Anolis sagrei: one gene and its partner. The protein of the gene in region 2 purifies or fractionates together with the protein of the main gene of each other region. This does not show direct contact. Links are inferred from orthologs where the notes say so. Each region holds a gene or a part of one and is shown on either strand. Other genes may lie near its edges.

Region 1 (6,967 bases), on a different chromosome or scaffold from region 2:
ACGTCTTTATGTGGGTGGCTGATATGTGCCCTGGTAGTTATTCAGAGTGTCAGCTGTAGATTGTTCCCTATTGAGGATTTAAGAACAGTTGTATATACACATACTGACTGGGAACAAGGACTTCTGAATTTGTATATTGCCAGCACGAACATATGTGCAATATAAACTCTTATTATTATGGTGTGCCTTTAGGTCATTTCTGACTTATAATGACCCTAAAGTAAGCTACCTCAGGGTTTTATGGGGCTGAGAGTATGCGACTTAGATAAAGTCACCCTGTGGATTTCCATGGCTGAATGCGGATTAGAATCCTGGTATCCAAAATCATAATCCAACGTCCAAAGGATTACATCAGGTTTAAAGTCAACACATTGCATTGCCTGTTACTTTTCTGATACTTTTCATTACTTTGAATAAATAAATATTTCAAAATAATGATATAAACATTTAAAAAATCATATGTAATGCTTCTAACATTGCTCATTCACTAATGGAGCAACTTTGTTTCCATTGTTTGTGCTACTTACCATATGTAGCTTTGCGACAGGAAACGGTGTTACTCATAATGTGTTAACCTTCAACCCACAAGTCTTCCCCTGCTACAAGCCTCCTCAGCCACCTCTCTTCGCTGTTGAGAGTTAGAGTTTAATCAGTGGAATTAGTGAAGTTTGATACCACCTTAACTGCCATGGTTTAGTGCTATGGTATCCTAGTAGTTGTAGTTCCCTCTTGTCCTTTGCTGAATGTAGCATTTGTTGGATTTTCTTAGTGGATCTGTAGATTGTGTTTCTTCATCAGCTTCACTATGTGGTCAGTGGTTCCCTTGATGTATGGCAAGAACACTTTTCCTCTGAGTGGATCTTTGTCTTGACTCTCATGGCTTGTTCTTGGTCTTTCAGCACTTCTGATGTCTAAGGTGGAGTATCCATTGGCCTGTAGAGCCCAGTTTAGGTGGTTTGGTTCACCTTGGTGGAGGTGGGCTTCGCAGATTCTTTTTGCATGGTCTGTCAAGGCTTTAATGGTGCTTCTTTTTTTACTTGGGTGATGGTTGGAGCTTTTATGCAGGTATCTATCTCTGTGTGTAGGTCTTCTGTAAACTGTGTGGACCAATTGTTGGTTGGGCTTTCAGATGACTAGGACATCTAGAAATGGCAGTTTTCCTTCTTTTTATTTTTCCATGGTGAATTGGATGTTGGGGTGGATGCTGCTGAGGTGGTCCAGGAACTTATTTCTTTATTTGTTTGTTTAGAGTATTTACTATATTCCACCCTTCTCACCCCGCAGGGGACTCAATGTGGATTACAATGCACATATACATGGCAAACATTCAAAGCCAATTAATATGCAACATATAAACAGACAAAGAGGCAATTTTAACATTCCACCTTCCCGGCTTCATATCTGCTTTGAACTGGATTATCTGAGGTCACACTGCCATATAACCAGTTCAAAGCAGATAATATGGGATTTTATACAGCTGTATGGAAGGGGTCTGATTCATGCAATTATGGTACATGGTGAATGGTAGGAAAACCCACCTGCAGTGATCAGCTGTGATTTTTATTTTATTTTCATGTGAAAAATGGTTTCACCTGGTAATGCCCACTCCTGTCCTTAAAAACCCATTAAATGCAATTATAATTGTACTGTATTTTAATTTTATGTCCAGGACACAAATATAATAATAATAATAATAATAATAATAATATATTTATTTACAGCTTTTATATTCCACCCTTCTCATCCCACAGGGGACTCAAGGTAGATTACAGTGTACACATATATGGCAAACATTCAATGCCAATTTTGATGTGCAGACATATACAGACTTACACAGAGGCTATTTAACCTTTTCTGGCCACCAGGGGAGCTGTCGCTTTCATCGTCCATCTGCGATGCTGATGAAGTACCTCTGCATTCCTTGCATGCTTCCCCACTGGAGTGCTTCTTTATGGCCTCATAAATTAGTTAATTTTAGCCTCCCCACACTTTTAAGGTGGTACCTTATTTTCCTACTTGAAAGATGCAACTGTCTTTCGGGTTGCAAAGGTTGACAACGGGCTACACAATGGTTGGAAACCCACTCCAATCTGGGCTGGCTTCGAACTCATGACCTTTTGGTCAGAGTGATCTTAATGCAGCTGACACTCAGCCAGCTGCGCCACAATCCCAACAACAACAATTTATTTATTTATTTATTTCGAGGTTTTATATACCGACCCTCTCACCTTCAAAGAGGGATTCGGACCGGTTCACAACATGTGTTAACATACAAAAAATATACAACAACAACAACAAAAACAACAACATGGATGTGGCTAACAAATTGAACTTTGAAAAGGAAACTGGGGGCCTGATTCTTGCAGCCCAAATGCCATTAAAGCCAGAACTGAAAAGTCGATGACAGATCCCAAGTGTACACTCTGCAAGAAGATTGTGCAGATGGACTACAAGCAGAGGCATAACATCTTGCTCAGATGATCCACTGGAACTCGTGCCACAAATACCATCTGCCTGCGACAACGAACTGGTGGGATCACAAGCCTGAAAATGTTACAGAAAACGAACATGTCAGACTACTCTGACACTTTCAAATTCAGAGTTTTGGAGCACAATAGTCCTGACCTCATGATCGTGAAAGTATGGATCATCGATGTTGCAATCCCAGGTGACAGCAGAATTGACAAGAAGCAACTGGAAAATCTGACACAATATGAAGATTTAAGATAGAACTGCAAAGACTCTGCCACAAGCCAGTAAAGTTGGTCCCAGTGGTGATCGACACACTGGGTACGGTGCCTAAAGACCTTGGCTTGCACTTAAAAACAATCAGCACTGACAAAATTACCATCTGCCAACTGCAAAAGGCTACCCTACTTGGATCTGCACGCATTATTCACCAATACATCAGACAGTCCTAGACACTTGGGAAGTGTCCAACGTGTGATCCAATACAACAGCCAGCAGTGATCTTGTTTGCTGTGTACTAATCTTGTTGTGTTTCAAATAAATAATAATAATTTTGTATTTGCTTTGTTTTATATTGTTATTGGGTCATAGAATCCTAGAATCCTAGAGTTGGAAGAGACCTCATGGGCCATCCAGTCCAACCCCCTGCCAAGAAGCAGGAATATTGCATTCAAATCACCCCTGACAGATGGCCATCCAGCCTCTGTTTAAAAGGTCGTGTAAGTTGCCTTGATTCCCTATGCAGAGAAAGGTGGGGATAGAAATTAAGTTAATAATAATAATTAACGGGCCAGGAAAAATATTGATTGCGGTGCATCCACACTGTAGACTTAACACAGTTTGATACCAGTTTAACTTCCTTGGGGAATTTCTATGGAATCTGGCAAGTTGTGGTTTTAGCAGGCCTTTAGCCTTCTCTGCCAAAGTGGACTGGTACTTACCCAAACTACAAAGCCCAGGACAGTTAAAGCGGTATCAAACTGTGTTAAGTCTACAGTGTGGATGCACCGCAATTAATATTTTTCTTACAGTGCAGATGCAATGATGTAGAGATAAGAAACATTGTTTTAAAATTAAGAAAAAAATAACCGAGGAGTGGTTGTGCCCGTGTATACAAAACCCGCGGATACGGAGGGCCGTCTACCCGCGGATACGGAGGACAGGCTATTGCATTGACTCTCCATGTATTGCATTGACTGTATACTTCCACCCTCTCGCTCGGAGGCCAAACAAAATGGCCGCCGCCGTGAAGTCAAAGCCGGAAACCCTATGTCTGAAGCAACTCTATGCTACTGGGCTTACGCTCTAGGCTGGACATTTCCTGTCTCTGTGATTTTCCGTCGCTTATATTGGATCGGAAAAGAGCGAGGCCGGGCCGTTTACTCCCCGCCAACCATTGAAATAAATCAACCAATCGTCGGACGGGAAGCGTTTAAAGTGGCAGCCTCGGTATCCAATAAGAAAAGGGTCCTGCGCAAAAGAAGGCGGGGCGCACGAAAATTGGATGCCGGAGTGCTATTTGGGGGAGCGGAGACCCCTTTCAATAGGTTCAAATGGGAAAGAAAAAGGCGGGAGTTAGATTTAAAGGGACAGGCACCTAAAAATAAGAAAGACTTAGGTGCATAGGTGTGTGTGGGCTAGCCATTAGGATATAATTGGAAGCAGGATATCAAGGCTATCAAAGGAATAATGCAAGGAGATGGATACAGATGAGGTTTGGAAAGGCAAAGGGAAGGAGTAACATTGTACCTACATATATATAGCTATATAGTTATTGCAAAATGGAGCAAACTCAGTTGTTGGACTGGGACGAGGAAGGGGATCCCAATGAGGCTTCTCATGGGAATACCCCCAAACCTGTTGGGCGCCTGCACCTTTTGAGCAGCAAATATGGCCCTGAAAAAGGTAAGGATGTCTACAATTAATGCCTTTATATTTATTAACATTGTGTATGTATATTTTATTTATATGCCACCTTTCTCCCAAAGTGGGATGCAAAGGTGACTTGCAAATACATTAAATTGCAAGGTTTCCAACACATTTTATTATATGCATTTATATTATTGTATTTATATGCTCCCTTTCCCCCAAAGTGGGATGCAAAGGTGGCATGCAAATACATTACATTGAAAGGTTTATACCACATTTTATTATATGTATTGATATTATTTTATTTATATGCCAGTTTTCTCCCAAAGCGGGGCACAAGAATGGGAAAACGTTATTTGCCGACTTTCTCTCAAAGTGCAATGCAAAGGTGGCTTGCTAATACATTACATTGAAAGGTTTCCAACACGTTTTATTATATGCATTTATATTATTGTATTTATATGCCAGCTTTCCCCCAAAGTGGAATGCAAAAGTGACTTGAAAATACACGAAATAGAAAGGCTTCCAACACATTTTATTATATGCGTTGATATTATTGTATTTATATGCCACCTTTTCCCCAAAGTGAGATACAAAGGTGGCAAGCAAATACATTACATTGAAAGGTTTATACCACATTTTATTATATGTATTGATATTACTGTATTTATATGCTACCTTTTCCCCAAAGAGAGATACAAAGGTGGCTTGCAAATACACTAAATTGAAAGGTTTCCAACACATTTTATTATATGTATTGATATTATTGTATTTATATGCCACCTTTCCCCCAAAGTGGAATGCAAAAGTGACTTGAAAATACATTAAATTGAAAGATTTCCGACACATTTTATTGTATGCATTTATATTATTATATTTATATGCCACCTTTTCTCCAAAGTGAGATACAAAGGTGGCTTGCAAATACATTACATCAAAAGGTTTCCAACACATTTTATTATATGCATTGATATAATTGTATTTATATGCCACCTTTTCCCCAAAGTGGCATGCAAAGGTGGCTTAAAAATACATTACATTGCAAGGTTCCCAACACATTTTATTATATGTGTTGATATTATTGTATTTATCTGTCAGCTTTCCCCCAAAGTGGGATGCAAAAGTGGCTTGCAAATACATTAAATTGCAATGTTTCCAACACATTTTATTATATGCATTGATATTATTGTATTTATATGCCAGCTTTCTCCCAAAGTGGGACACAAGAATGGGAAAACGTTAAATTAGGTGGCTTGCAAATACATTAAACTGAAAGGTTTCTAACACATTTTATTGTATGTATTGATATTGTTGTGTTTATATGCCAGTTTTCAACCAGAGTGGGATGCAAAGGTGGCTTGCAAATACATTAAACTGAAAGGTTTCCAACACATTTTATTATATGTATTAATATTATTGTATTTATATGCCAGTTTTCTCCCAAAGTGGGGCACAAGAATGGGAAAACGTTATTTGCCGACTTTCTCCCAAAGTGCAATGCAAAAGTGACTTGCAAATACATTAAATTGAAAGGTTTCAAACACATTTTATTATATGTATTGATATTATTGTATTTATATCCCACCTTCTCCCAGAGTGCGATGCAAAGGTGGCTTGCAAATACATTACATTGAAAGGTTTCCAACACATTTTATTATATGTAGTGATATTATTGTATTTATATGCTACCTTTTCCCCAAAGAGAGATACAAAGGTGGCTTGCAAATACACTAAATTGAAAGGTTTCCAACACATTTTATTATACGTATTGATAATATTGTATTTATATGCCAGTTTTCTCCCAAAGTGGGACACAAGAATAGGAAAACATTAAATTAGAGTGGGGCGCAAGGCAGCTTGCAAATACATTAAATTAAAAGGTTGTTGTTGTTGTTATTAACAACTGTATTTATACTCTGCCTTTCCCGCTGTAGGGACTCAAGGCAGTTAACAAACCCACACTTTTAAAAGCTCATTACAAAAGTTACAAAACAATTAAATCGTACAGTGTGGTAGAGACATATTAAAACATTACCAATACACTTAAAATAGTCTTTACAACTAAATTGTATTTATTGATATTGTTTCATTTAGATGCCACTCTTTCACCCAAGGTGGCTTGCAAAAACATGATTCCACGGCATTGGGCCATTGGAGTTAAAGTGGTGTCAAACTGCATTAATTCTATAGTGTAGATGCACCCTAAGAATGGGGCTATGCCAGGCATGGGTAAACTTGGGCCCTCCAGGTGTTTTGGACTTCAATTCCCACAGTTCCTAACTGTTATGATTTGAGGGAGTTTTATTTTGAACACTTATACCCCATCCATTCTCGACCTCCAGGGAGAGACTCAGGACGGCTACCTACAGGCAACAATTCGATTCCGAGACAATATAAACACATAATAAATACCTAAATATAAATATAAATATACATTAAAACAGTTGATGTCCAAAACACCTAGAGGGCCAAAGTTTGCTCATGCATGGGTTATGCTGCTTGTTTACAAAAGCCCTTCAGAAGTTTGCATAGAGAGCAAAACTGAAATCCTGTTGGATTAATTAATTAGTTTATTTTATTTACATATTTATACTCTGCTTTTCTCACCCCTGGGGAGACTCTAAGCGGT
Region 2 (7,920 bases):
TTCTTCAGGCTAAACATGCCCAGTTCCCTAAGCCGCTCCTCATAGGGCTTGTTCTCCAGACCCTTGATCATTTTAGTCGCCCTCCTCTGGACACATTCCAGCTTGTCAACATCTCTCTTGAATTGTGGCGCCCAGAATTGGACACAATATTCCAGGTGTGGTCTAACCAAAGCAGAATAGAGGGGTAGCATTACTTCCTTAGATCTAGACACTATGCTCCTATTGATGCAGGCCAAAATCCCATTGGCTTTTTTTGCCGCCACGTCACATTGTTGGCTCATGTTTAACTTGTTGTCCACGAGGACTCCAAGATCTTTTTCACACGTACTGCTCTCGAGCCAGGCCTCCCCCATCCTGTATCTTTGCATTTCATTTTTCCTGCCAAAGTGGAGTATCTTGCATTTGTCGCTGTTGAACTTCATTTTGTTAGTTTTGGCCCATCTCTCTAATCTGTCAAGATCGTTTTGAATCCTGCCCCTGTCCTCTGGAGTCTTGGCTCTCCCTCCCAATTTGGTGTCGTCTGCAAACTTGATGATCATGCCTTCTAGCCCTTCATCTAAGTCATGAAGAAAGATCCTGAACAGGACCGGGCCCAGGACGGAACCCTGCGGCACTCCACTTGTCACTTCTTTCCAAGATGAATCTTGACATTTGGGAGTTGTAGTTGCTGGGATTTATAGTTCACCTACAATCAAAGAGGATTCTGAAAACCACCAACGATAGAATTGGGCCAAACCTCCCACACAGAATCCCTTTGACCACCAGAGTGGGCCACAGCAACACATGGCAGGGGATGGCTAGTAGAATCATGGAATCCTAGAGTAGGAAGAGACCTCATGGGCCATCCAGTCCAACCCCATTCTGCCAAGAAGCAGGAATATTGCATTCAAATCACCCCTGACAGATGGCCATCCAGCCTCTGTTTAAAAGCTTCCAAAGAAGAAGCCTCTACCAAACTCTGAGGCAGAGAGTTCCCCTGCTGAACAGCTCTCACAGTCAGGAAGTTCTTCCTAAAGTTCAGGTGGAATCTCCTTTCTTGTAGTTTGAAGCCAAAGAAGGAGGCTCCACCACACTCTGGGGCAGAGAGTTCCACTGATGAACAGCTCCCACAGTCAGGAAGTTCTTCCTAATCTTCAAGTGGAATCTCCTTTCTTGTAGTTTGAAACCAAAGAAGGAGGCTGCACCACACTCTGGGGCAGAGAGTTCCACTGGTGAACAGCTCCCACAGTCAGGAAGTCCTTCCTAATGTTTAGGGTCTCCTTTCTTGTAGTTTGAAGCCATTGTTCCGCATCCTAGTCTCCAGGGAGGCAGAAAACAAGCTCCCTCCTTTCTATGACTTCATCTCACATATTCATAGCTATCATGTCTCCTCTCCTACCGGATGTTAGGAATTATGGGAGTTGAAGTCCAAAACACCTGGAGGGCCCAAGTTTGCCCATGCCTAGTATAAGGTATATTATGAGAGCCAGTAAGGATTTAAGTGACTGATTTGGATTGCAAAACCAGGTTTTGAATGTCTGCTTGGCTATGGAAACTCACTGAGAAACTTTGGGACAAGTCACACTCTCTCAGCCTCAGAGTTATCCCAAATATAGTAATCCAGAATGGTTTTCCCGCCCTGATCGTACCTCCTTTGGTCTTTTCTCCCGGGGGCAGCTCAGCAACCAGGCACCCGAAAGTGGGCTCTTTCCCAAAGCCATCTTCTTGGAAATCTACCAATAAATAAGGCAATGTTAAGCACTATATATAAAACATATGCATTTACATAGCTTCGTACGGTTCTGGAATTGACAAAATATGAATGGCCTTTCTTGAAAGCCACACGGCATCAAAATATATGCGTTCAACATCAAAATACACAATTTTCTACAATTCCCAGGATCCCATAGTTTTGAGCATTTGTGGGGTGAAGCTGCATTAATTCTATAGTGTAGATGCACTCGTTGTATGCTAGGGAATCTGGCTTTGAGCTTCGTTTCTTGCAAGTTGGTTAGAAGCCATAGCAAAACTCCAAATAACTAGAAAAAATGTATTGTCGAAGGCTTTCATGGCCGGAAAGGAGGTAACCATGAAAATGAACAAAATTTGGCTACTCTAAAATTGCAACAGCACAACAACAGAGAGGAAACAAACAAGGACATCTAATTACCTCTCAACAAAAGTTTGCTCCAGGCACAGTCAGCCCATTGTATGCTGATCAAGATGGTCAGTTGAAACATTCACACTTAGCTCCAGCAGACAAGAGTCCTTTGTCCCACCCTGGTCATTCCACAGATATATAAACCCTTTTTCCTAGTTCCAACAGACCTCACTACCTCTGAGGATGTTTGCCATAGATACAGGCGAAATGTCAGGAGAGAGTACCTCTAGACCATGGCCATACAGCCCGAAAAAACCTACAACAACCCAACTAGAAAAAAAATAAATATAAGCCATTCCTTACTTTTTGTGGTGGTCGTCACTTGGTCCAAAGCTTTGTGGAAAGCCGCAGATTCCTGGAAAGAGAGTAAGTTGTAATGGAAATGGAAATGAGAAAGGGGTCTCTGGAGGTCATCTAGTTTGACCCTCTCCAAATGCGTAAAGCCCAGAACCCCAGAGAATTCCTCAATTGATCCCTGTTGAGAATTGGAAGGTGGGGGAGGAGAGAGAGAGATACACCTGGAGTACAAAACCCATCATCCAGTATGACACACCAAGGGGAGTATGGGTTTTGTAGTTGAGGCACATGTCCAAATTGTCATTCTGATGCCAAAACAGAGCTTTAAACCCCTGAAATTTCTCACCCGAATAAGCCGCATGACCTCCTTAAGATCCCTTACGGCCCAGGGACGGATGATGCAGTTCATCATGGCTCTGATCTTGTCTCCTTCCAATTTGGACTCTGATCTGGTTAAAGAAAGCTGACTCCAGTTAAAAACTAAGCGTTCCCCTTCAATGGGCACCCCCTCCTTGCACCTATTAATTTTGGTCAGTTATTAATTTTGGGGATACGCTTGGAAACCCAACAAGGAAGATGGATCCATAGCAAGGTTCAAAGGGTGCTGTTGTACTTAGTTTTGGCCCCAGAAGCTGGCATATAAATGAGTTACAGGGTTGGTTAGTGATGTAAATGGACTTTCCTTGGCTTGTTATAACTCTCAATGGCTCTTGGAAAATCTGTTAAGCTGGAACCCATCTGTATTGCCATGTAATGCAGTGTGAAACTGCATTGTATGGTCAGTACAGACTCATATTATGCCATTCAATGCAGATTCATAATGCCATTCAATGCAGGTCCCCATCTACACTCCACTATATAATGCAATTTCATAATATGGTTAACTGCATTACATGGCAGATATATATACTAGCCATCCCCTGCCACGCATTGCTGTGTTCCAGTCTGTATATATGTGTTTTGTGTGTGTGTATATATTTGAGGAGCCTTCTAATCAAGGTGAAAGAAGAAAGCGCAAAAGCTGGGTTGCAGCTGAACATCCAAAATCCAAGATTATGGCAACAAGAATGATTGACAACTGGAAAATTGTGGGAGAAAATGTGGAGGCCGTGACAGGGTTTGTATTTCTAGGCGCAAAGATGACTGCAGATGCAGACTGTGGCCAGGAAATCAGAAGACGCTTCCTTCTTGGGAGGAGAGCAAGGTCCAGTCTCAATAAAATAGTAAAGAGTAGAGACATCAGACTGGCAACCAAGATCCATTGCCTAGTCCAAGCCATGGTCTTCCCTGTAGTCACCTACGGATGTGAGAGCTGGACCTTAGGGAAGGCGGAGCGAAGGAAGATCGATGCTTTTGAGCTGTGGTGTTGGAGGAAAGTGCTGAGAGTGCCTTGGACTGCGAGAAGATCCAACCAGTCCATCCTCCAGGAAATAAAGCCTGACTGCTCATTGGAGGGAAGGAGACTAGAGACAAAGTTGAAGTCCTTTGGCCACATCATGAGGAGACAGCAAAGCCTAGAGAAGGGAATGATGATGGGGAAAGTGGAAGGCAAAAGGAAGAGGGGCCGACCAAGGGCAAGATGGATGGATGGCATCCTTGAAGTGACTGGACTGACCTTGAAGGAGCTGGGGGTGGTGACGGCCGACAGGGAGCTCTGGCGTGGGCTGGTCCATGAGGTCAGGAAGAGTCGGAGACGACTGAACAAATGAACAACATATATTTGTGCATATAGAAGATGTGTATATAGATAGATAGAAGAGATAGATATAGATAGAAAGGTAAAGGTTTTCCCCTGACATTGTGTCTGACTCTGAGGTGTGGTGCTCATCTCCATTTCTAAGCTGAGCCGGCGTTGTCTGTAGATAACTCCAAGGTCACGTGGCTGGCATGACTGCATGGAACACAGTTACCTTCCCGCCGGAGAAGTACCTATTGATCTACTCGCATTGCATGTTTTTGAACTGCTAGTTTGGCAGAAGCTGGGGCTGACAGCAGGAGCTTACCCCACTCCCTGGAATCCACTCCCTGGATTCCCTTTCGGTCAGCAGCTCAGTGCTTTAACCCACTGCAGAGATAATAGATATGGCAGCATGGATGGAGCCCTAGTGTTTAGAGCTCAGGGCTAATCTACACTGCAGATTTAATGCACTTTGATCCCACTTTAGCTGCCATGGTGCAATGCTATTTAGTCCTGAGCACTGTCATTTGGTTCTCTTTAGTGTAGAACCTAAAATTCCATAGCATTGAGCCATAGTAGTTGAAGTAGTGCCAAACTGCATTACTCCCAGATGCATCCACGTGGGTGTGTTTTCTAGTTCCTGTTGCCCTTTAAGGAGTGAGGTCTCGCGAGAGCTCTACGCCCTTTCGCCTGGCTCCCGCGAGATCTGGGTGAGCCAGCCGGGAGGAAAAGTGGGCGGAGCCAGGGGTGTCATGGCGGCCTCCACAGTCCCCACGTGAGTTTGTGTTTTGATCTTGCTAAGCAGAGAGATTGTAAGTTTTGGGGACACTTTTCCCTCTTCTCTGCATTCTCTGGAGCAGATAAAAGGAACTGCTCCAGGGAATCCGCATGTAGAAAGGTATTAATTACAGTATCTGCATTATTGTTTGGCATTATTAACTGATATCGTTGATATTCTAATTGGGGCCCTCATTGCTATTGCGTAGAACTTAGAGAGGGATCCATCTTAGTTTGCTTTCTTGTAAAAGAGAAAAATGAGGAGTCTTGTGTTGTAATAAGAAATTCAGTGTGCAAATTTGATAAATGTGAATTTAAAATGATGTGTGGGAATGAATGGAAGGATGTATGGATAGAGCTAATAATTTTGGAAACACCAGTATAATATTAAGGCCTGCAATGACTAACTACCTGCTTGCTGGACTTGCTAATGAGAAACCCTGATAAGAACTGGGACAGTGATAAAGGAAATGTTTGCAACATGCCTTATGTTAAGAAGGAAGTCTTGTGTAAGATCAACACTAAGCCTTGTGTTTGTTAACACCAATCAAGAAGATCAACACTGAGATGGATCCAGGATGGAAGACGTCTATCATTAATTTACAACTTTGGGACTACATCAACAGAATTTTCCTATAAAAGACTCAGGCTAATAATGCTCAAATCGTGACAGACCGAGGAGTCTGATCCACCCGCCATGCTCTGCTCCATGGGAAGGACAGAGGTGGTGTATTCAGAGAGTGCCAGATATGCTATGGGAAAGCATGATTCTGGACATTTTGGGGCTTCTTTCTCAAGGGAAGAGGAAGAAGTGCCCTTTTGGAGTCTTAGATTTTATGCAGGGAGTCAAGTTCTGCTGTATGGAAAACAGAGGTCTGGTCCTTGGCACTGTTCTTAGGGAAAGAAGTTTTGGCATCTCAGCGTTTGAAGTTATGGAACTATGCGTTGGTTTGTTGTTGTTCATTCGTTCAGTCGTCTCCGACTCTTCGTGACCTCATGGACCAGCCCACGCCAGAGCTCCCTGTCGGCCGTCACCACCCCCAGCTCCTGCAAGGTCAGTCCGGTCACTTCAAGGATGCCATCCATCCATCTTGCCCTTGGTCGGCCCCTCTTCCTTTTGCCTTCCACTTTCCCCAGCATAATTGTCTTCTCTAGGCTTTGCTGTCTCCTCATGATGTGGCCAAAGTACTTCAACTTTGTCTCGAGTCTCCTTCCCTCCAATGTGCAGTTGGGCTTTATTTCCTGGAGGATGGACTGGTTGGATCTTCTCGCAGTCCAAGGCACTCTCAGAACTTTCCTCCAACACCACAACTCAAAAGCATCTATCTTCCTTCGCTCAGCCTTCCCTAAGGTAGGCTGCAGGAAAGCAGGGTCTGGCCTAAGAGGTGCTTCTCCAAGGAGGGAGAAAATGATATGGTAATATTTGGATGCATGTGGATGAATGCATGTACATGTGTGTGAATGCTGAGTGAAAATGTAATTCTCCTATGTTTGTTTGTTAACCAATGTAATTGTGAATCCAATGTAGTTGCATAGAATCTGTATGTCTGTATGTCCAATGTAATTCTTTGTCTAAATGTTTTCTATAATCTGATATATCTTCTCACACTGGAAATTGCAATAAAAAGAACCTATGCTTCAAAGTTATTGAAAAGTCATTCATGACAGTGTCGCTCTTAAGTCTAACCAATGTGTATATATCTTATGGTTTTAATGTGTTTTCATCTTATGCTTGTATTTTAATATATGCATTAAAATGATGTTATGTTTTCACTATTGTACCCCATCTGTGGCCTAGAGAGTCATAGAAAAATATTTATTATTTTATTATTTATTTACTACATTTTTACCCCCCTCTTCAAAAACCCCTGTGGGGGGACAGGGACTCAGAGCGTCTTATACTGGCAACAATTCGATGCCCCAAATATAACAAATAACAGCAATTCAATTCAAGGTGCAGGTGCTCACCTACAAAGCCCTAAATGGTTTGGGACCCGACTACCTGCATGACCGCATCTCCATATATGAACCCACATGATCCCTTCGATCATCTGGAGAGTCCCTGCTCACAATCCCACCTGCGTCGCAAGCGCGTTTGGTGGGGACGAGGGACAGGGCCTTCTCTGGTGGCCCCCCGACTCTGGAACTCTCTCCCCAAGGACATCAGACAAGCCCCAAAGTTGGCAGTCTTTAGGAAGAGCCTGAAGATTTGGCTGTTCCAGTGTGCCTTTCCAGAATAGGAAACTCCTGGCATCATGTCCCAAATGCACTTTGTTAGAGATTTAGGATTGTCTGCACATTGCACCTACCTCCAAAACCTCTACATTTCACCTGTCATATCCAGCACTTTTAAATTTTGTTCATTACATTGGCCCGGCCTTAGGTTTTAAATGCATCATGGTGTCATTGTTTTTAGTGTTTATTTTTGCTTGATGTTTATTGTTTGCTTTATGAGTTTTACTGCTGTATTGTTATGTTGTTGTTTTGTTGGCGGCCTTGGCCTTTGTAAGCCACATTGAGTCCTTCAGGAGATGTTAGCGGGGTATAAATAAAGTTAATAATAATAATAATAATGATAATATAAAACAATGAATAGAACAGTAGATTAAAAATCGTTAAGCGTTATTATCACATGCTACTCTGCTGCTGAGTATGCATGCCCGGTGTGGAACACATCTCACCACGCTAAAACAGTAGATGTGGCTCTTAATGAGACATTATTATGAGGGAATCCTTTCTAATATTTAGGCACAACTTGTTCTCTTGTAACTTGAATCCACTAATTTGTGTCCTAGACCCTGGAGCAGCATAAAACAACCTTGCCCTTATTTACATGACATCCTTTCTGGTATTTAACGATGGACCTGGGAAGGAATCCTGGGAGTTACCCTGGACAGTTATCTGACCTACAAGAAGCACTGCTTGAATATCAAGCAAAAAGTGGGTGATATCATACGAAAGCTGAATGGCATAACCTGGGAATCACAGCCAGATACAGTGAAGATATCTGCCCTTGCGCTGTGCTACT

What was found. The genes of interacting proteins can lie anywhere in the genome.
Region 1: the proteins of WRAP53 (region 2) and MDC1 purify together in Homo sapiens (affinity purification with western blotting, with the first as the bait; 3 studies listed by BioGRID). This does not show direct contact. The link is inferred for Anolis sagrei from reciprocal best matches to the Homo sapiens genes WRAP53 and MDC1.

Annotation. Positions count from the first base shown.
Region 1 is NC_090022.1:21,663,282-21,670,248, forward strand, and holds the start of MDC1 (mediator of DNA damage checkpoint protein 1), read left to right. Parts: upstream 1-3,923; 5' UTR 3,924-4,250; coding exon 4,251-4,374; intron 4,375-6,967. UniProt on the Homo sapiens protein: Histone reader protein required for checkpoint-mediated cell cycle arrest in response to DNA damage within both the S phase and G2/M phases of the cell cycle.
Region 2 is NC_090026.1:5,549,423-5,557,342, forward strand, and holds the start of WRAP53 (telomerase Cajal body protein 1), read left to right. Parts: upstream 1-4,842; 5' UTR 4,843-4,890; intron 4,891-4,903; exon of another isoform or gene 4,904-4,927; intron 4,928-4,939; exon of another isoform or gene 4,940-5,013; intron 5,014-7,920. Other genes in the region: thialysine N-epsilon-acetyltransferase-like, read right to left, coding at 1,629-1,712, 2,444-2,495, 2,784-2,849. UniProt on the Homo sapiens protein: RNA chaperone that plays a key role in telomere maintenance and RNA localization to Cajal bodies. Specifically recognizes and binds the Cajal body box (CAB box) present in both small Cajal body RNAs (scaRNAs) and telomerase RNA template component (TERC).